2 linked regions of the Callithrix jacchus genome follow. The protein of the gene in region 1 interacts with the protein of each later gene in a pairwise test. Links are inferred from orthologs where the notes say so. Each region holds a gene or a part of one and is shown in the gene's direction. Other genes may lie near its edges.

Region 1 (10,890 bases):
CCATTCCACTCCATACTCCACTCCACACTCCACTCTCCATTACACTCCACACTCCATTCCACTCCACCCTCCACACACTCGATTCTACTCCACCCTCCACTCCACACTCCATTCTCCTTTCCACTCCACACTCCACTCCGCACTCCACTCCACACTCCACTCCTCTCCACACTCCACTCCACTCCACACTCCACTCCATTCCACTCTTCACTTCACTCCACAGTACCCATGAGGTTTCAGAGTTTTGACTTCAAGAATAGGTCTTGATGCATACACCATGGGCATGATCTCAGTTACCTTGCCACAGTAATCGGTTCAGGAATAGGTAGTAAAACTAAACCTAAGCCAGTCGGCACATGACTTTCTCTGTCCACAGGCATTAGTCCAATCAAGAGCAAAATACAGAGCTTTGCTACCTGGAAAAAGAAGTAATTGATGTTGTGAATGCATATTTTTAAAACTTATTTTGACATAATTGTAGATTCAGGTACAGTTACTAAAGATCTAGTGGCCAGGTGCAGTGGCTCACTCCTGTATTCCTTGCACTTTGGGAGGCTGAGGCCAGAAGATTTCTTGAGGTCAGGAGTTCGAGATCAGCCTGACTAACATGGCAAAACCCCATCTCTACTAAAAATACAAAAATTAGCCGGGCATGGTGGCACATGCCTGTAATCCCAGCTACTTGGGAGGTTGAGGCATGATAATTGCTTGCACTCAGAAGGCGGAGGTTGCAGTGAGCCAAGATGGCGTCACCGCTCCAGCCTGGGTGACAGAGCAAGACTCTGTTTCCAAAAAACTAAAATAAAAATAAAGATCCAGCATACCCTTCAACCAGTTCCTCCCAATGACAACATCTTGCATAAATACAGTACAGTGTCACACCAGCAAATTATCATCGTTAAAATTTACCAATCTTATTCAGATTTCACCATTTTTACATAAATTCACGTGTTTGTGTGTGTTTAGTTCTACACAATTTTATTGCATATGTAAATACACAGGAACAACACTACAGTCAAGACACAGAACTATTCCATCACAAGGATCCTCACACTACCTCTTTTTCTTTTTTTTTTTTTGAGACAGAGTCTTGCTCTGTCACCCAGGCTGTAGTGCAGTGGCTCCATCTCAGCTCACTGCAATCTCCGCCTCCCACGTTCTAGCAATTCTCCTGCCTCTTGACCTTGTGATCCACCCCCCTCGGCCTCCCAAAGTGCTGGGATTATAGGCGTGAGCCACCGCACCCCCCCCTCTTTTTCTCTTTTCTTGAGGTGGAGTCTTGATTTGTCACCCAGGCTGGAGTGCAGTGGCTCAATCTCAGCTCACTGCAACCTCTGCCTCCTGGGCTCAACTGATTCTCCAGGTTAGCCTCCATAGTTGAGATTACAGGTGTGCACCATTGCGCTCGGCTGGTTTGTATATTTTTGGTAAAGACAGGGTTTCACCATGTTGGTCAGGCTGGTCTCAAACTCCCGCCCACCTCAGCCTCCCAAAGCGCTGGGATTACAGGCATAAACCACCACACCCTACCTGTTCTACGTTTCTTTACCCCAGGTCACCTGTCTCCAGAGGTCATAAAGGGTTGGTAGGATAAAAACAATTCTTAACAACAAAGCCAAACTCTAGACTTGTATCCCCCAAATCAGGAGGCAGCTAAAGGGCAGCTTTATCTGCCTATCTGTATCTCTCATATTTCGGCGTGTGTTGCAATGCTTACTAGTCCTTTTTGGAGTAAATCAGAACTGACGTACTTATTCTCTAATTCTTACAAATTTCAATGTTGACCCAATCTCACACCAAGACCAGGCTGTGGTGTGGCCTGGGCCAGGTACACTGCATCATTCTGGAAATGGGTTAGGGCTATTTGGGACTGAAATCTGAACGACCAGATACCCAGAGTATGGTTGAGAAGGTGGATGTGGGTTTGTGGTTGGCAAGTCCACTGAGGCCCTCAGACTTTCTGTCCCCTGCGGAAGAGAAGCAGAGTGTAGACCTCTCTAAAGCGATGATGTGGGCCGCTCCGCCTACGGGGTAGCCATTCTTTGTTACCTTACTTTCTTAAAAAATAAACTTACTTTAAAAGAATAATAATAGGCCGGGCGCGATGGCTCACGCCTATAATCCCAGCACTTTGGGAGGCCGAAGCGGGTGGATCACGAGGTCAAGAGATCGAGACCATCCTGGTCAACATGGTGAAACCCCCTTTCTACTAAAAATATAAAAATTAGCTGGGCATGGTGGTGCGCGCCTGTAGTCCCAGCTACTCGGGAAGCTAAGGCAGAAGAATTGCTTGAACCCAGAAGGCGGAGGTTGCAGTGAGCCGAGATCGTGCCATTGCACTCCAGTCTGGGTAACAAGTGAAACTCTGTCTCAAAAATAATAATAATAATAATAATAAACTTACTTTCACTTTGAAAAAATAAAAATAAAGTGATCATCTGGAAGCAGAAGCCTGTCTTGCTCAGACAGCAGGATAATTTTGAGAAAAATTTCAAAGAAAACTAGGAAACGCCAGTAAGGGATAAGAACGTAACATAAAAATGCTGGCGGGGGCCGGGCGCGGTGGCTCACGCCCATAATCCCAGCACTTTGGGAGGCCGAGGCGGGTGGATCACGAGGTCAAGAAATCGAGACCATCCTGGTCAACATGGTGAAACCCCGTCTCTACTAAAAACACAAAAATTAGCTGGGCATGGTGGCGCGTGCCTGTAATCCCAGCTACTCAGGAGGCTGAGGCAGGAGAATTGCCTGAACCCAGGAGGCGGAGGTTGCGGTGAGCCGAGATCGCGCCATTGCACTCCAGCCTGGGTAACAAGAGCGAAACTCCGTCTCAAAAAAAAAAAAAATGCTGGCGGTCTGCGGCCTCCAAGACCCTGGGTCGATGCCTCAGAAAGGAGCAAGCAATTTGTAGTTGCTACTCAGCACAACAACCCTATGTAGTGGGCATTTTATTACTATTTTAATGGATAAACAACCCTATGGTACAAAAAGTAAAAGATGTAAGGAAATGTACTTCTTACTGCGGTACAATTATCCCCATTTCACACGGGAGAAACTGAGGTAAATGAATGGTAAACCAACTTGCCTGAGCACAGGAGAGAAGTAGCAGAACTGGGCTTGTTATTGCAACACAGAAACGTTACCGTCTGATATCTAAACGAAACTGCAGGTGCCTACAAATGGGGCTGCTTAATAAAAGGCCCCACGTCTCAGGTGGGCTAGTCCGCAACCCTCATCCTCCAGACTCCGGGGGAGGCCAGATGTCTCCGTTCGTTCCTCGGCATCCACACAAAGCCTGCTTTCTTCTGCAGGGCTGGGACCCAGGCACCAAAAGGAAACCGAACAAAGACTCGGGGCCCGGCCCGGCAGCCGCGGAAGCCTATAGGCCCGGAGCGCGTGGCCAGGAGACCCGGTCGGCGCCGCGCCCGGAGACAGCGCCGGCTCTCGGGCCCCGACCCCTAGGCTGGAGCTTCGGCGCGACCGGGCCAGGGACCGCGGCAGAGCCTCCTCGGCCTTTCCGAGAAGAAAATCCCAGGCCCCGAGGCCACGAAATCTAGCCTCTCACTGGGAGCGCGGGCCAAGCCCCGCCCGCCGAGCCGCCTCTTCCGCTCGCGCCGGGGTGGGGTCTGCGCGGCCGCCGGGACCCGCTTCGGACGCGGCCACGTTGTCTTGCGCGCCTGCCCCTGGGCTTCTGCCCCTCGGCGACCCGGCCCTGCCCCGGAGCGTGTTCGCGCCTTCATCGGGGGCCCCGGCGCGGGGAGCGGCGCGGCCACCTCGAGTCTTCGCGGCGCGGGCGCGTCTGGATCCGGGCCCGGGAGGCGCCGCCCTCCGCCCGCCCCGCGCCTCCCGGGAACGGCGACCGGAGAGCGCGGGAGAGTTGGGCGCGGCGCGGAGCTCGGTCGGGGCCCATGCCCGTGCGCCCCGCAGGCCCCGCCATGGCGTCCGCGAGCGTGGCCGAGTGCCTGCAGCAGGAGACCACCTGCCCCGTGTGCCTGCAGTACTTCTCCGAGCCCATGATGCTCGACTGCGGACACAACATCTGCGGCGCGTGCCTGGCGCGCTGCTGGGGCGCGGCGGAGACCAACGTGTCGTGCCCGCAGTGCCGGGAGACCTTCCCGCAGCGGCACCTGCGGCCCAACCGCCACCTGGCCAACGTCACCCAGCTGGTGAAGCAGCTGCGCTCCGAGCGGCCGGTGGGCCCGGGCGGGGAGATGGGCGCGTGCGAGAAGCACCGCGAGCCGCTGAAGCTGTACTGCGAGCAGGACCAGACGCCCATCTGCGTGGTGTGCGACCGCTCCCGCGAGCACCGCGGACACAGCGTGCTGCCGCTCGAGGAGGCCGTGGAGGGCTTCAAGGTGAGCTGGCGGGGCGGGCGGCGGACAAAGGGAGGGGGAGAGCCCGGGGCGTCCCTTTTCCGCCCAGAAAATGGCTGAGCCGGACGTGGGGCTGGTTCGCAGCCGTCATTTCCTCCCCGTGCGCCCCGGAGCCTCCGCGCTCGGATCTGGAGGAAAACCTGTGGCTGGCGAAGAAGCCACAAGTCCCCCCACCCCCACTCTCCTCGCTCCGTGTGCCCCCGAGTTTCCTGCCTCGCGGGCGCGTTGTACACGGAGACCTTTTGACAGAATGAAAGAAGCGCATACAACCCGCGCACATCCGCAAGCTGGGGACACGCTCCGCTCCCACCGGCTCGCAACAAAACGCGCTCAGACGTTCACTGACTCACGGCCATTCCTTAGTGTAGAAGCATTTTCTCTAGCACTTTCGTTCAGTCTGCCCGGCTCTAGAAGCTCACGGAAAATAACAGCTCTTTGGTGCTTGAGTAAGTCGTTTAACTACTCTAGGACCCAGGAGATAACACAGTCATGAGGAAGAACGTGGAATCACAGGACGCTCAGAGCCCTCTGCTAACCGGCACAGCTAAACAAACAGTAACGTGCAGACAAAGTGTTCCAAATAAAACACTTGTAAGGCGCCCTTCAAGGAGTCCATGACACAATTATTTGTATCTTGAGGGCTTCAGTAATGCATACACAATTATGTCCCTGTTTAATGGGAGTACATTCATGTGTAATCCCTTAACATTAATGGACCTTTCAGCTATATTATTTCACTCACTGGTGATACATCTTGAGCAGGTTGGGAAGATGGTGTTTGCCCATGTCACACCTGAGGAAAATAAGTCACCTTCGCAGTATGCCTGTGAGGAAAAGCTCCAGTACCACACAACTCTCAGCCTCCTGCTCCAGTCACATTTCCGCTAAGTCATGCAATATCCGACCAGGGACAGGTAGATGACTCATTGTTTAAGATAGACACAAATAGTCCTGACGCAGTAGCTGAGTGGTTGAAGCCACAGGCTGCTTAGATAGACACAAAATGCCAGAGGCGAGGCTTGATGGCCCCTGTGCCCTGGGTCTTAATCTTGTGGGTGGCACTGTGGCCTGAGGACAGGACCAGACAGGACTTGGCATCAGGTGTGTGGACTCCATCTGTGATAAGAATGACCATGCTATTGGGTGAGGTGGCTCACACCTGTAATCCCAGCACTTTGGGAGGCTGAGGCAGACAGATCACAAGATCGGGAATTTGAGACTTGCCTGACAGACTTGGGGAAACCATCTGTACTCAAAGTACAGATATTAGCTGGGTATGGTGGCACGTGCCTGTAGTCCCAGCTACTCGGGAGGCTGAGGCAGGAGAATCGCTTGAACCTTTGAGGTGGAGGTTGCAGTGAGCTGAGATTGCGCCACTGCACTCCAGCCTGGATGACAGAGTGAGATTCCGTCTCGATGACCATGCTGATGCTAAGGTCTACTTAATTTTGAACTGCCATCTGTTTTGCTTTTCTCAGGAGCAGATTCAGAACCAGCTGGACCACCTTAAAAGAGTGAAAGATTTAAAGAAGAGACGTCGGGCCCAGGGGGAACAGGCACGAGCCGAACTCTTGGTAAGGGTTGTCCGAATTCACAGTCGCTTCTGCTGGTGCTCCCCTCTTCTGTAGAGCTGTTACTTCCCTTAAACTTCTCCAGCAAGTCATCCAGAACTTGTAGGTAGAGGTGGATCAACCGCACATGGCGGGGGATCTCACCCTGAGAACTGAGAGATTCCCTTACTTTTGGGGAAAGGATGGAGGAGCCTAGTTTGGAACCCCTGGAAACCAGACCTGTCAATAAAGCTTAACCTGCTAACTGCATAGACCACGGTTGATTCTTGGCAAAACTGACATAGATAACTTTATTGGGTACAGTCAGCTCCCTTTGTTACCATTCTGCAGACGTCCTGTATAAGGCCCACTGTTGCTTCTCTCTGGGTTATTCTCCTTGACAGTGCCTTGATTGTGGAGTTTTTACTCTGTTCTCTTCTTCCAGCCTCAAGGCCTTGACAAGTGGCTGATGTGTTAATTCATGATAGAGGTATTTAGGATTTTTTTTTTTTTTTTTTTTTTTTTTTTTTTTTGAGACAGGGCCTCACACTGTCACCAGTGCAATGGCAAGGTTTCGGCTCACTGCAACCTCTGCCTCCCAGTTCAAGCAATTCTCCCACCTCAGCCTCCCAGGGAGCAGGGGCTACAGGTGTGCACCAACACACCCAGCTAATTTTTGTATTTCTAATAGAGATGGGGTTCCACCATGTTGACCAGGCTGGTCTTGAACTCCTAACCTGAAGTGATCCACCTGACTCAGCCTCCCAAAGTGGGTTTACAGGTGTGAGCCACTGGACCCAGCCAGGAATTTTGTTTTGAAAAGAAAAAACAAACAAAAAGTACAGAGACATTTGTAAAATGCATTTTTGTAACATTTAAAAATACCACCTAGGTGTTTAAAAATGTTTTTTGAGCCGGGCGCGGTGGCTCACGCCTGTAATCCCAGCACTTTGGGAGGCCGAGGCGGGTGGATCACAAGGTTGAGAGATCGAGACCATCCTGGTCAACAAGGTGAAACCCCGTCTCTACTAAAAATACAAAAAATTAGCTGGGCATGGTGGCACGTGCCTGTAGTCCCAGCTACTCAGGAGGCTGAGTCAGGAGAATTGCCTGAACCCAGGAGGCGGAGGTTGTGGTGAGCCGAGATCGCGCCATTGCACTCCAGCCTGGGTAACAAGAGTGAAACTTTGTCTCAAAAAAAAAAATGTTTTTGAACAACACATAAAACGTGACGAATCTCCATTGAGTAGAGATATTTCTGTCTGAAAAGTAAAGTCCCAGACTAGTAGAGTCCAGCATCCTTCTGTCATTCCAGGCAGGGCGCAGTAAAGAACTCTTAGACGAGGAACTCATTCCCATGGAGTCCTGAGATCCCACCACTTGCTCTGCCCACACAGTGCACTGAGACTTCAGCTCTCCTTGAAAATAAGTCTGATGGACGGAGAATCTTCTCAGTGAGCCTGAGTGGACCCAGGTCATTGTCCACGTGATGGTATCCTCTGAGGGAGGATTATCAAAGGGGAGAAAAGCCCTTCTCAGAGCATCTGGGCACCTGGACATGCTTCTAGGCTCGGTTGCAAAGATGGAGTCATACAGCCTCTCTGGACCTCAGTTACTCATCTGTGAAATGAGTAGTTTAGACTAGATTCGTAAGGCTAGTCCTGCCTTTCTGTCCTCTGCAATGGTGTGTGGGTATTTCTTTGGCTGTTTTCAGAAGACTTGAGCGATTGGAGAGGTCGGGGCAGGAACCCTAAGTGTCTTACAGTGCAAGAAACAGTCCCATGCCAGGCAGGATTGTCCTGCCAAGGTACCAGTAGCACCCACTTTGAGAAACACTGAAATAGTTGCTATTTAAGGATTGTTTCAGCCTTTTTTGTTTCTAAGATTATTTTGTATAGGTGTTTGTTTTTTTTTTTTTGATGAATAACTTCTTTGTTCTGGAAAAGCAAATGAAAGTCGTGTTCACATAAACACTGACATTACGAAGTACAGGGAAAAGGGGAAAGGAGAAGGAAACGGAACCCTTGACAAATCCTACTAATACTGTCTCACCCAAAAAGACCGTAATGCTTTGTCCCATATTCAGTCACTTATATAATGAAACACAAATAAAGTCTTCTCTGGAAGATACACTGCTCCGCTTTGAGATGGCAGGGAAAAGGGACCGGAAGTTGGGGTAGAAGGCCTTATTCTTTTGGCATTATAGATACTATAGATTTTGGCATTATAGATATAGATAAGTCATTATAGATATTGCTGCACTGTTAATAAAAAACATATGCTTCTCTGTAAAGCATTAAAAAAAAAAAATCCATGGATGAGATGGCTGAGTTCTCAGCTCAAGTATCTCCAAATACATTGTTGTCCATTCCCTGACCTTTCTGTGTGTTGTTTTCCGGATCAATGCCATTCTCCGTTTGTGAGCTTCCGTGGTGCAAGCTTTTTTGTAGGGTCGGATTTCTTCAGAGCCAAATCCTGGGATGCACGTGTTCCGCTGGCGCTCTGAATGTAGCTGGGCGTCTTTCACCTCCAGAGTGCTGGACTTGCAACGCCGTGCTAGCTGACAGGCGGCCGTCACCGCACTCTCGATAAAATCATCAGCAATCTGCAGCAGCGTCTCCTCCTCATCTTCATCCAACTGCTCATTAGGATCCACTTCTCTTACTAAGGCCTGCAGTTTCTTCTTGGTCAATACCTGATTGTTTTCAGGGCTAACTTCCTGTCCCAGGAGTGCCTGGTATCTTTACCTCTGTAGTACTATTGGCCATGGAGCCTTGTGTAGGGGTGCTGGCTGGTTCCAGTTTTATGGATGAGAAATTAGAGAGGTTGATTAGGGCTGAGGGGCCAAACTGGTTCATAATCTGCCAAGCTTTGGACTTCAGCTCATAGAGCTTATTGAGATCCTGTTTCTTTTTGGAGCTGCGAGGACCCAGGCCTATTAAAGGCAGCAGCGTCTATCTCCCCATGTTAAGCAGAGACTGCCCCAATGTAGCGTTCATCTCAGCAGCCGGTCCGACTGTGCGTCGTATTTTGTATAGTTTATGCGTTTGAAAGAATTACCCAACTCGCATGAAGTATAACGTTTGAAAAGGATTTATAAACAGACTTGTGCATAGTGCGTGTCTAATCCGGGTGACTAGAGGGACGGTCAGTGGGGGAAGGCTCTTGGGAGAAGCTGGGTTTAGAACAGACGTTGCCAACTTTTCTAAAAAGGGTCAGGTAGTGAATGTTTCTAGCTTTGTAGGCTATGTGGCCTCCCCCGCAGCTGATTAGCTCTGTTGTAGCTCAGCTCAAAAGCAGCCATTGTCAGTGCATAAATGCAGGGCGTGGCTATGTCCAGTACAACTTCACGTGATTTCTTTGGAGCTTGTTCTTGGCTCCTTGTTTAGAACAAAACTTTTTAATAGAGACTTGATGGTGGTGGGGGCGGCTGAAGAAAGACAGACAGTAAGTTATGGCAAACAAATGAGCACCAAGAGGAAACCATAGGGAAGCCACCTCTCTCCCACCCGAAGCTAGAGACAGCGTTTGGTGAACACCCGTGAACGACAGGTAGAGGATATGGAGTATATGTGAAGGGCAATCGGGCAAGGAAGCTGCGCTTGGTTGTTCCGTCCTCCGTAGGGCACATATGTGACCCTGTCCCTTTCCCATGTGACAATATTTCATGCCTCCCAATTGCAATAGAGGCTGCCAGGCAAGGTGTGACAAGGTCTCAGTTTTTCTGACCTTTTCCCTCAACACTCGTGTGCTTCAGCCAGAGAGCACCATTTGCTTTGTTGCCCTGTGATTTTGCCTGTGCCATTTCTTCTGCCTGGAAAGGCTTCCTGCGTGTTGCCTGTATGGTGGGCTCTCGTTCATCCCGTAAACACTGAAATTGCTTCCATGAAGACGGTACCAGTTTCTTTCATTGCAGGCTGTCACCCTATCTTTAATTACCTTACCATGACTACATGTATCACATGAACCTGACTCACTTCTCTGAGTTATTTGAGAATAGGGATTTTGTCCTTTATTTTTTGAGACGGAGTTTCGCTCTTGTTACCCAGGCTGGAGTGCAGTGGCGCGATCTCGGCTCACCGCAACCTCCGCCTCCTGGGTTCAGGCAATTCTCCTGACTCAGCCTCCTGAGTAGCCAGGATTACAGGCACGCGCCACCATGCCCAGCTAATTTTTTGTATTTTTAGTAGAGACGGGGTTTCACCATGTTGACCAGGATGGTCTCGATCTCTTGACCTCGTGATCCACCCGCCTCAGCCTCCCAAAGTGCTGGGACTACAGGCTTGAGCCACCGCGCCCGGCAGATTTTGTCTTAATAGTCACTGGGGTAACTCAGTTCCTGGCCATTACACATCCAGTCAGTAAAGAGTGGCAAGAATGAGTTAGCACTGTGCTTGTTTCTTTTGTTTGTTTGTTTGTTTGTTTCAGTCTTTCTAAGGTTCAATTCAGGTACACTGTGCTTGTTTCATCCATGATGAGGTCTTGGGGTGGGCGACCAGGGGAGAAATGTGAAGGCCCCAGAAATGAGCCATGTTTCTCTTTACTGCCTTTTCCTGTGGTCTGCACAGAGCCTAACCCAGATGGAAAGGGAGAAGATTGTTTGGGAGTTTGAGCAACTGTATCACTCCTTAAAGGAGCACGAGTATCGCCTCCTGGCCCGCCTTGAGGAGCTGGACTTGGCCATCTACAATAGCATTAATGGTGCCATCACCCAGTTCTCCTGCAACATCTCCCACCTCAGTGGCCTGATCGCTCAGCTGGAAGAGAAGCAGCAGCAGCCCACCAGGGAGCTCCTGCAGGTAAGGCTTACGGAGCTCTGCCAGAGCAGCATCCACTGAAAGTAGCCTCCCTTCTTCCTTTGCCAAGTAGTATCCAGGATCCCCTGTCTTCCTATTAGCTCTCGGGAATAGCAAGAGTTTGCCACACTCTGCATTGTGCACCCCGGAAGGAAACTATGTAAACTAGAA
Region 2 (10,790 bases), on another chromosome or scaffold:
ACTTCAGAAGTTGTAAAAACAACACCAGGTGCTCCCTTCTCATCCTTTCCCAGGCTCAGCAGTTGTTGCCATTATGCCAGGGTGGCTTCCTCAGCCTCTTTCTATCTGAAGAGCTCTATGTACATCGATATTTCTTCCCACACCCAGTACCTCCTTAACCCTGGGAACCTGCCGCCACTGGTCAGTGACAGATGAAGGCCATGGCTGAACAAATGAAGTAACAGAGTGGCTGTTGGTAGAAAGCCTGGAAACCACTTGATTTGACTTATTTTTTATTTTATTTTTTTGAGATGGAGTCTCTCTCTGTCGCCAGGCTGGAGTACGGTGGCACCATCTCAGCTCACTGCAACCTCTGCCTCCTGGGTTCGAGCAATTCTCCTGCCTCAGCCTCCTAAGTAGCTGGGATTACAGGTGCCCATCACCATGCCCAGCTAATTTTTGTATCTTTAGTAGAGATGGGATTTCACCATGTTGGCCAGGCTGGTCTCAATCTCCTGACCTTGTGATCCGCCTGCCTCAGCCTCCCAATGTGCTGGGATTACAGGCATGAGCCACTGTGCCCAGCCGTTTATTATTTTTAGACAGAGTCTCACTCTGTCGCCGAGGTTGGAGTGCGGTGGCATGATCTCAGTTTCCTGCAACTTCTGCCTCCCAGGTTCAAGCAATTCTCATGCTTCAGCCTCCCAAGTACCTGGGATTACAGATGCCCGCCACTATGCCTGGCTAATTTTTTTGTGTTTTTAGTAGAGATGGGGTTTTACCATGTTGGCCAGGCTAGTCTAAAACTCCTGGCCTTAAGCAGTCTGCCCACTTTGGCCTCCCAAAGAGCTGGGATTACAGGCATGAGCCACCACACGCGGCCCGATTTTTCTTTAGACCTGTATGCCTGCGGCTGTCATTTGATCCTGTTCTCTGTGGGTAGAACTGTCCCTAGTTCATGTGATGGAAGTCAAGGTCTCTATACTTCTTGGTGTTCTATAGACAGCACAGGGTCTGCCACCTAAGCCAGTCTAGAAGCCACTGCTCACTGGGCCTCAGCTGACTGTGCAGGGTCCCTGGGCATCGTGACGCCCAGCCACAGGCTGCTAGGGGGCCACTAGGACTGACTGCTTCCCCTCCCTGACATTCTCCTTTCTGTCTTGAAGTAGGTTCTTAGCAGACAGTGGCCCAGACCTCAAGGGAGAACCAGGCTCCAGACAGAGCCCTCCAGCCACTTCCAGCCCCATCCAGCCCAGGAAGGGAGGAGCTGACTGGCTGGGCCTCAAGGACGATGACTTGGACCTGCTCCCTGCCTCACCCACCAGAGAGGCATGTCGGGAAAGCTCAGCACTTGCCATGCCCTTAGTGCCTCCTCCTGAGAGCAAGCACTCTGCACCAGCTGGGCTGCCCCTCTCCAAGGCAAAGCCACCAACCGAAGGTGCAGGGTCCCCTGCCAAAGCCAGCCAGGATTCCAAGCTGCAAGCCTCCGAGAAGGAGGAAGAAGACTGGCTGAGCCATGCCCTGTCTCGGAAGAAGTCCCAAGGCCTGGCCAGAGAGCAGGGTGCTGGGGCCTCTGAGGGCCTGAGTTTTGCAGGGACAGTGGGCCATCCCCCTTCTGACAGGTACGGGCTTGGGCTGCTATGGCTTGTAGGGGGACTTGAGGGGCCCCTTTGCCCCTCACCTGTTGCAGCCTCAGTTGGGAACAAGGCAGCGCGCCGTGGGCACAGAGGCCGTTTCTTGGCTTTGCTACTCTGCCTTTTGGGCACTGCAGAGAGAGCCTCTGGCTCCCTGGCTTGCCCCAGGGACAGACCCAACAGGTCGGGGGAGCTGTTGACATTTGTGCCCTGATTGCCATGGGGACAGGTGCTAACTTGATTGGGCAGAACAGAGGATACCTGAGGTGGCAGACACACCACTGTCCTGCCTCTGAGCAGTGCCCTGCCACAGCGTCCTCAGGCTGGCAGCCTCAGCGTCCAAACCACTGGTGCTTCTGCCAGCTCCACTGAAGTAAATATGGCGTGTGTGAGCTGAGATGTCCCTGTGCTCTTTGAGAGCGTTAGAGGAGACACAGTGGTCCAGAGGCACCTCCTGGAGAAGCCACAGAAGGGCAAGCCGTGGGACAGGACAGTGAGCGACCTCTGAGGGCAGGAAGGCACAAGGGCCAGCAGGCTGGGGGAAATTATGAGCAGCAATGTGGCCCAAGCCCAGGGAAGTGAACTGGGCAATTTGTGACAGCCCAGGAACATCACCCAGTCCTGGGATTGATGTCAGGAGGGCACTTTTGACATTCACCTGAGACTGAGGGGAAAGCTGAGGCCAAAACAGAAGAGAGCCTGTGTCTTCACTGACCCATGAGCTGAGAAAGAGGTAGAAATAACAGGAAAGGGAGCCAGCCAGACTTGGGAGACTGAGCAGAGCCTTACTCTAGAGCTGAGCCAAGTTAAATGGGCTGGAACAGGGATGCTGAGGCAGGAAGGGGGTACTTGAAGGGAAGAGATGCCCACAGATCCCAGGAGCTCAGACTTGGGAGGAGAACAACCCAAGACGGGATGGTGGGAGCAAGAGAAAGGGCAGCCATGAGCTTCATGTGTGAAGCCTGTCCTGGGCCCCATCTTCATCCAGCCTGACCTGGGCTTTCTGTCACCTTCACCTTGAAGGCTGCCTTTTCTCAGCCAACCTCTCACCAGCATGCCAGGACTTGAGCAGGCAGCTGCTGGAGGAAGCTCTGGAACAACCGCCGGAGAAAGACCGTGTGCCAGGCCTGGCGTCTCGGGGTAGGCCCGGGCTGCAGACTGAGCAGAGTGAGGGCACAGTGGGTAGCACTCCGTCCTTAGAGAGGGACAGCAGACAACCATGTGGAGACCCAATACAATTAACCGTGGTGTTCAACCCCTGCTCCAGGCACGCTGGTGGAAGAGCTTTCTGAAGTGCAGGGGACTCTGTCCTCTGCCTACCACCAGCACAACTGAGACTCCTTAGTCAGCTGTCAGTTGAACCCGAAGTTTTCCTTTACTCCTGGTGCCAACCCCCGTCTCCGTGTCCCACACAGGCTACTCTCCTTGCCCTGTCTCCGAATCCCACAGAGGCTGCTCACCCTCCCCCGTCCCAATCTCCCACACAGAGCTAGTTACTTTGTCCTGTCCCATACAGAGGCTGTTTGCCTTGCCCCATCCCCATATCCCACATAGAGGCTGCTCACCTTGCCCCGTCCCTGTGCCCTCAGGTCCCCTGTGACTCAGAAACATGCTGCCTCGGCACTCCCTGCAGGCTCCCCAAAGCGGGGAGCAGCCCCTGGAGACATCTCGGCCACGGGTTTGTTTGTTGTTTTCTGCTTTATTTGGGAGTTTAACCTGGGCAAAGAAGAGGTGCTTTGAGCTTCCTTTGGGGTCCCTGGGACATGAGTGACACCAGCCTCTCCTGGATACTTGCAGCCCACAGCCCTGGGCCACCCTGCTCATTTCCCTGCTGCTGATGTTTCAGAGCCTGCCATGTGTTTCCCGAGCACCCAGGAGCCCACAGAGCCTTCTGTGCCCGTCCAGGTAGGGGTGCATGCACAGAGGCAACACCAACACTTTGACCTGATGACCTGCCAGGAAAAATATGTCAGACATACCAAATGTGGTGTCGGCCACCTCCCCTGGCACCTCTCACCAGCACTTGCCTGAACTTCTAGCCTCACTGCTCCCAGGCAGAGTTGGGTGTTAATTTCCCTACATCAATGGGAATTCGAAGAGGTAGCCAGGCTGGGGAGCTGGGAATGCTGCTGTCAGAAAGCAGGGCTGCAGGGACCTCTTCTGTCTAGAAAGCCGCCTCCACCCCTGCCATTCTCCTGCCACACCTCTGCCTCTGTTTCCATGTGTGGCAGTCACCTGTGACACCTGAGCATGGGAGGTGTGGCCCCCAGGAGTGTGTCCCTGGGAGATGGTGGGTAGAGGGCAGCTTGTGGAAACCAGATTAGTGTTAACATGTGGGCTTCAGGGCTAACAGGAAAAGCCAGCGTCAGCATTTGTCAGCGGAGACTCAGCTGGGGCTCAGCCCCAGTCTGGGAAGCCGGAGATCATGCTGGGGAGGAAGCTCTTTTGAGGGGTGGAGGGAGACGCATGCTCCTGACCGGACCTGCAAGGGGAAGTACACTGGGGACTGCTCAGCCACAGTGACTGTGACTCTCCAAGGCCTTGGCCCTATCTGCAGCCACAGATCAGGTCCAGTGAGCAGAGATCCAGGAGGTAGCTGATCCCAGCTGGGTCCGTCCCTCCCTAACCAAGAACACCTCTCATCCTCTCCTACAGCCCCTGCTCCCAGAGTCCCTGGCCCTGAGCCTGCTGCCAGGCACAGAATACCAGAAGCAGCTCCTGGCAGCACAGGTGAAGCTTCAGAGCAGCACCGCAGAGCTCCAGGCTGCGCTGCTGCAGAGCCAAGCCCGGCTGGCAGAGCTGGAGGCCCAGGTGAGTGGCAGCGGGGTTGCTGGCATTGGGGGCAAAGTTGTGACGGGAGGGGTCACCGAGAGACTGAGAGTATCGGGAAGCATCCCCAGGAGGAAGGAGGGGCTGTTGGCACAGGGCAGCGTAGAGCACAGCCACCTCCCCTCCCTAATCGCTGGCCCTCCTGCCGTCTCCCAGGTGCGGAAGCTGGAGCTGGAACGGGCCCAGCGTGAGCTGCTGCTGGGGAGTCTGCAGCAGCAAAACCAGGCAGACCTGGAGCTCATCGAGAATGCACACAGGTACCCCAGCACCAGCCCCAGCTCTGCCTTGACTCTCTCGCTGACCTCAAAGGCCACCCCAGTGTGCTTGGAGAGGCCTTTAGGTGGCAGCCCTCTACCTTCCTCATGCCATGGCTGGGTGTACTGTTGGCAGAAGCCACATCAAGGTGCTAGAAATATCGTACCAGCAGCGGGAGGAGCGTCTCCGGAGAGAGAACGAGGAGCTGTCAGCTCGGTATCTGTCGCACTGCCAGGAGGCCGAGCAGGCCCGTGCTGAGCTCACCGCCCAGTACCAGCGGCGCTTGGCAGCTGCAGCACAGGAGAAGGACCAGGAAATGGAGCGGCTCCGGGAGCTGCAGCGGTGAGGCCCAGGGACAGGCAGTTGGGGATGGGCTTGCAAGGACTGGCCAGAAGGCAGCCATCCTCACGAGACCCTCTGCTGTGGCTCAGCAGCCCTTGGACAGGGATTTGAGCCCTTCCCTCCCAGCCCAATGAGTGAGGACTGAGGGCTGGGCAGACTGACCCATTACACACATGGGTGGAGTGCCACCTGCTCTTACAGAGGCAGGATGCGGTATCCACAGGCTGTCCACGCACCGCATGGCAGCAGCAAGCCCCCCAGGGCCTAACTAAGCACAGGGTAATCCACTCACCAGCTCACGCAGTAGAGGCTAGAGATGAGGTCTGCCTGGGAAAGGCTTGCACTGTTGTGCCTGCCATGTTGATAGGGTTGCCTTTATAGAAGAGAAGGAAGCTAAGAAGTTATCTAAGGGAGTCAGAGGTCTCACTCTGTCACCCAGACTGGAGCACAGTAGCACGATCTCGGCTCACTGCAAACTATGCCTCCTGGGTTAAAGCAATTCTCCTGCCTCAGCCCCCAAAGTAGCTGGGACTACAGGCGCCCACCACCATGCCTGGCTAATTTTTGTATTTTTAGGTGAGATGGGGTTTCACCATGTTGGCCAGGCTGGTCTTGAACTCCTGAGCTCATGATCTGCCCACCTCAGCCTCCCAAAGTACTGGGTTTACAGGCATGAGCTGCCACCATGCCTGACTCAGAGCTCAGGGCCAGGCACAGTGGCTCACACCTGTAATAATCAGCACTTTGGGAGGCCAAGATGGGAGGATCACTTGAGGCCAGGAGTTTGAGACCAGCCTGGGCAACACAACGAGACCTTGTATCTAAAAACAGTTTTTAAATTAGCTGGGCATGATCGTGACTTGGGAGGTTGAGGTGGAAGATACCTTGGGCCCAAGACGTCAGGCTGCAGTGAGCTTTGATTATGCCGCTGCACTCCAGCTGGGACCACAGAACAAAACCCTGTCTCTAAAAGAATTAAAAAAAAAAAAAAAAAAAAAAAACTACTTTGGGAGGCGAAGGCAGGAGGATTGCTTGAGGCTAGGAGTTCAAGACCAGCCTGGGCAATATAGCGAGATCTCATGTCTACAAAAAGGAAAAAAGAAAAGAAAGAAAGACAGCTCAGGTTGGCCAGACTCAAAAGAAGTGCACACATGGCTCTATGTAAAGTGCTCTTTGCTGAATAACTGGAGTAATCTCCATCTTAGTGCATGTAGCATTGAGGCACCATGACAGATAAGACAGAGGAGCTGGGGAAACTGAGGCAGTGCCCAGAGGAAGAGAGGCCTGGGAGCAAGGGCTGCTTCGAAGCATGCCCTTCCACAAGGAGCTGCTGTGTCTGGGTGGTCCTGCTCAGATTGGCTGTGGGCCTTCCCCTTCCACTTCCCCACAGGGCATCCATCCTGGAGATGCGCAGAGACCACGAGGAGCAGCTGCAGCGGCTGAAGCTGCTGAAAGACCGAGAGGTCGATGCGGCCACCAGCACCACCTCCCACACATGGTATGTGTGCTGCCCCAACTGTGCCCGCCTAAGGGTGGGGGCTGGGGGGTCCCGAGGCTTTCAGGAGGTGGTGACCCAGCCTCCTTTCAGGTCCCTGAATAGCATCATCCACCAGATGGAGAAGTTCTCCAGCAGCCTGCAGGAGCTGTCCTACCGCATGGAGGCCTCACATCTCACCAACTCCCAGGAGCGGGAGCTGGGGATCCGGCAGCGGGACGAGCAGCTGCGGGGTACGCCCTCCCTCTCAGACCCCCAGACCCCTGGTGGGAAGAGGAGCAGTTGCCAGCACCCTGTGGGTTGTCCCCAGCACTGCAGGAGCGGCTGGGCCAGCAGCAGCGGGACATGGAGGAGGAGCGGAGCTGGCAGCAGGAGGTCATCGGGAAGATGGAGGCGCGGCTGAGTGAGCAGAGCCAGCTGCTGGAGCAGGTGAGGCCCATCCTCCTGGCCCTCCTGCCATGGGGCCTCTCCTCCAGGGCACCCGCAGGTGTGGCGACACTCTCCTGACCTCACCTCCTCAGAGGTCAGCGCCGGGGCTTGACTCTCCTGTGGGCATCCTCCCTGCTACTTCCTGCCTCTGCGTCTCCCTGTCCCGGCCAGGCCCTCAGCATTGCCCACCTGAGCACACAGGCGCCACCTGGCCAGGCCCCCACTACGCTCTGCCTGCTCCTCACCACCGCAAGTCCCTCAGCCACCCTGGCCTTGCTCCACAGTCTAAACCCTGCAACCATCAGCTGCACTCAGAGCTGTCCCCTTACCCAAGCCCTGTGACATTCGGACAGATGCTCTTGCCTGTTAAATGTTATCCTAGCCTCTTCAGCTCTAACAGACATTTGAACTCCCTAAATACCTTTCATATATAAGCACACACTTTAATTAAATAATAATAACCTCATCCAGGCATGGTGGCCTGTGCCTGTAATCGCAGCTACTTGGGGAGCTGAGGCAGGAGGATCACTTAAGTCCAAGAATTTGAGACCAGCTTAAGCAACATAGTGAGAGCCCATCTCTTTTTTTTTTTTTTTTGAGAGAAGGAAAGAAAAGAAAAAAAAATAAGTAAAGGAGAGGAAGAGAAAGAGGGAGAGTAAATGGAAATATTGCTTTATTTTGAAAAAAATTGGGTATTAATAATGGCCAATCAATGTTTCATTTAAACTTATGGGTAGGTGTGATGTGGTATTGACAAGAATGTATATTTTGTGTATTTGAAGTGGGGAGCTCTATAAATATTTATTAAGTTTACTTGTTCTGGATCTGAGTTCGAGTCCTTGATATCCTTATTAATTTTCTGTCTCATTGAATCTAAGTCTCGTATCTGGGTGTTAGGATCGTTAGCTCTTGTTGTTGCATTGATCCTTTTACCACTTATCTTTGTTGCTTTAAAATCTATTTTATCCGATACGAGAATTGCAACTCCTGCTTTTTATTTATTTATTATTTATTTTTGCTCTCCATTTGGTTGGTAAATCTTTCTCCATTCCTTTGTTTTGAGTCTTTGTGTATCCTTGCATGTGAAACAGGTCTGGATGTAACATGCCATTGGGTTTTGGCTGTGTCTTTTGATTGGGGGATTTAGTCAATTTAAATTTAGGGTTACTGCCATTTGATGCTGACCGGCTGTTTTATCCATTCGTTGGTGTAAATTCTTCTTTATGTTGGTGCTCTTTACTTTTTGGTGTATTTTTAGAAAGGCTAATACTGGTTGTTTCTTTCTGTGTGTAATGCTTCTTTCAGAAGCTCTTGTAAAGCAGGCCTGGTGGTAATAAAATCTCTGAGTTCTTGCTTGTTCATAAAAGATTTTATTTTTCCTTCAGTTGTGAAGCTTAGTTTGGCTGGATATGAAATTCTTGGCTGAAGGTTCTGTTCTTTGAGGATGTTGAATATTGGCCCCCACTCTCTTCTGGCCTGTAGAGTTTCTGCCGAGAGATCTGCTGTAAGTCTGATAGGTTTGCCTTTGTGGGTAACCTGACCTTTCTCTCTGGCTGCCCTTAGTATTTTCTCCTTCGTTTCAACCCTGGTGAATCTAACGATTATGTGCCTTGGGGTTGCTCTTCTTGAGGAATATCTTTGTGGTGTTCTCTGTATTACCTGGGGTTGAATGTTGACCTGCTTTGCTAGTTTAGGAAAATTTTCCTGAATAATATCCTGAAGGGTATTTTCCAGCTTGGATTCATTCTCTCCGTCGCATTCAGGTACACCTATCAAACGTAAATTTGGTCTTTTCACATAGTCCCACATTTCTTGGAGACTTTGCTCATTCCTTTTTATCCTTTTTTCTCTAATCATTTCTTCACGTTTTATTTCATTAAGTTGGACTTTGACCTCTGATATCCCTTCTTCTGCTTGAACAATTCGAGTGTTTAAACCTGTGCATAACTTCTCGGAGTTCCTGTATTGTATTCTTCAGTTCCATTAATTCACTCATACTCCTCTCTAAGTTGTCTATTCTCAATAGGATTTCATCAAACCTTTTTTCAAAGTTCCTAGTTTCTTTACGTTGGGCTACAACATGTTCTTTTAACTCACCGAAGTTTGTTATTATCCATTCCTTGAAGAGTGATTCTGTCATCAGGAGGCGCTCATTCTCCATCAAGCCTCGTTCCATTGTTGATGTGGAACTGTGATCATCTTTAGAGGGAGAGGCGTTCTGACTTTGAGTATTCTCAGCTTTTTTACGCTGGTTTCTTCCCGTCATTGTAAATTTATCCTCCTCTCGTCTTTGAAATTACCAACTTTCAGATTAGGTCTCTTGAGTGGACGTCCAGGTTGTTAGTTCCCAGGGCCAGAGTAGCGGCGTTAAAACTGATGGTGCTTTTCTGCCCAGGATTATCTTGTCGGGCTTCCTTCTTGTGTCCGTAGTAGGCGACTCTGCCTTCCTGGGGCTCCAAACCTCGGGCAGAAGGGGAACCGGTCCTGTTTACTCTGCGCCGAGCGCGGGGAGCGCGGGGAGGTGCCGTCACAGCCGCTGGGCTGGGCTCTGGTGTTGTGCTGGGGGCCCGTGTGGGTCCTCCAAACCTGTTTACTCTGCTCCGAGAGCTGCGGCACCAAGGTGCTGGCGGAACCGCTGCGCCGGTCACGAAAGTCGCGCTGGCGACCCGTGTGATTCCTCCACTGGGGGATCTTCTGCTCCGCGAGCGACCAGAATTTGTCTGAAAGTGTGGCGTCCTCTAGTTCTCCGCGCCTTCCCTGAGAGCTGCAATCCCGGGATGTTAGCGATCAGCCATCTTGGATCGTTCCCCGAGATCCCATCTCTAAAAAAAATTTTATGCCAGGCGTATTGGCTCATACCTGTAATTCCTCACTTTGGGAAGCCAAGGCTGACAGATCACTTAAGGTCAGGAGTTCAAGGTCAGCCTGGCTAACATGGTGAAACCCTGTCTCTAATAAAAACACAAAAACTAATCAGGCATGGTGGCATATGCCTATAATCCCAGCTAATAGGGAAGCTGAGGGAGGAGAACCGCTTGCACCCAGGAGGCAGAGGTTGCAGTGAGTAGAAATAGCACCACTGCACTTCAGCCTGGGTGACAGAGCGAGACTCTGTCTCAAAAATAAATAAAAAATAAATAAAATTTTGTTTTAATTAGCTGTAAGTGGTGGTGCTCACCTGCAATCCCTGCCTTTGCTCACATCCCTGTCCTGACCTGCAGAAATCTTTCCAGACTGAATTCAATGGTCATGAATCTTTGGATGCTACCACCTCCATGAAGCCTTCCTTGCCCTCCCACCTATCTTCTTGTTCCCAGCTAGTAGCTGTCATCCTTTAAGGTTTTATGAAGCACTTTCTTTGTTTTCTCTGTTTTCCAGGCTGGAGTGCAGTGGTGTGGTCATAGCTCACTGCAGCCTGACCTCCTCGGCTCAAGCCATCCTCCTGCCTCAGCTTACAGCTCGACTGCAGGCACACACTACCACACCCAGCTAATGGTGTATTTTGTGTTGAGATGGGGGTCTCGCCATGTTTCCAAGGCTGGTCTTGAACTCCTGAGCTCAAGTAATCCACCCACCTAGGCCTTCCAACATTTTGAGAGTACAAATGGGAGCCACCATGGCTGGCCAAAAAAATTTTTTTAGAGATGGGCTCTCACTGTCACTCAGGCTGGAGTGCAGTGGCAAGATCTTGGCTCACTGCAGCTTGCACTCACTCCCAGGCTCAAGCAGTCTTCCCTCAGCCTCCAAATAGTTGGGATCACAGGTGCGAGCCACTAGACCTGGCTAATTTTTCGTAGAAATGGGGGTTTGCCATGTTGCCCAGGCTG

What was found.
Region 2: the proteins of TRIM27 (region 1) and FBF1 interact in binary tests that used the Homo sapiens proteins (3 or more experiments, as listed by UniProt). The two-hybrid records come from large-scale screens. The link is inferred for Callithrix jacchus from reciprocal best matches to the Homo sapiens genes TRIM27 and FBF1.

Annotation. Positions count from the first base shown.
Region 1 is NC_133505.1:2,067,714-2,078,603, forward strand, and holds the start of TRIM27 (zinc finger protein RFP), read left to right. Parts: upstream 1-3,623; 5' UTR 3,624-3,908; coding exon 3,909-4,355; intron 4,356-5,851; coding exon 5,852-5,947; exon of another isoform or gene 5,948-10,491; coding exon 10,492-10,722; intron 10,723-10,890. UniProt on the Homo sapiens protein: E3 ubiquitin-protein ligase that mediates ubiquitination of various substrates and thereby plays a role in diffent processes including proliferation, innate immunity, apoptosis, immune response or autophagy.
Region 2 is NC_133506.1:131,808,401-131,819,190, reverse strand, and holds part of FBF1 (fas-binding factor 1), read left to right. Parts: intron 1-1,145; coding exon 1,146-1,601; intron 1,602-2,636; coding exon 2,637-2,753; intron 2,754-3,202; coding exon 3,203-3,291; intron 3,292-3,459; coding exon 3,460-3,518; intron 3,519-4,268; coding exon 4,269-4,424; intron 4,425-4,598; coding exon 4,599-4,699; intron 4,700-4,832; coding exon 4,833-5,039; intron 5,040-6,429; coding exon 6,430-6,537; intron 6,538-6,627; coding exon 6,628-6,767; intron 6,768-6,844; coding exon 6,845-6,963; intron 6,964-10,790. UniProt on the Homo sapiens protein: Keratin-binding protein required for epithelial cell polarization. Involved in apical junction complex (AJC) assembly via its interaction with PARD3. Required for ciliogenesis.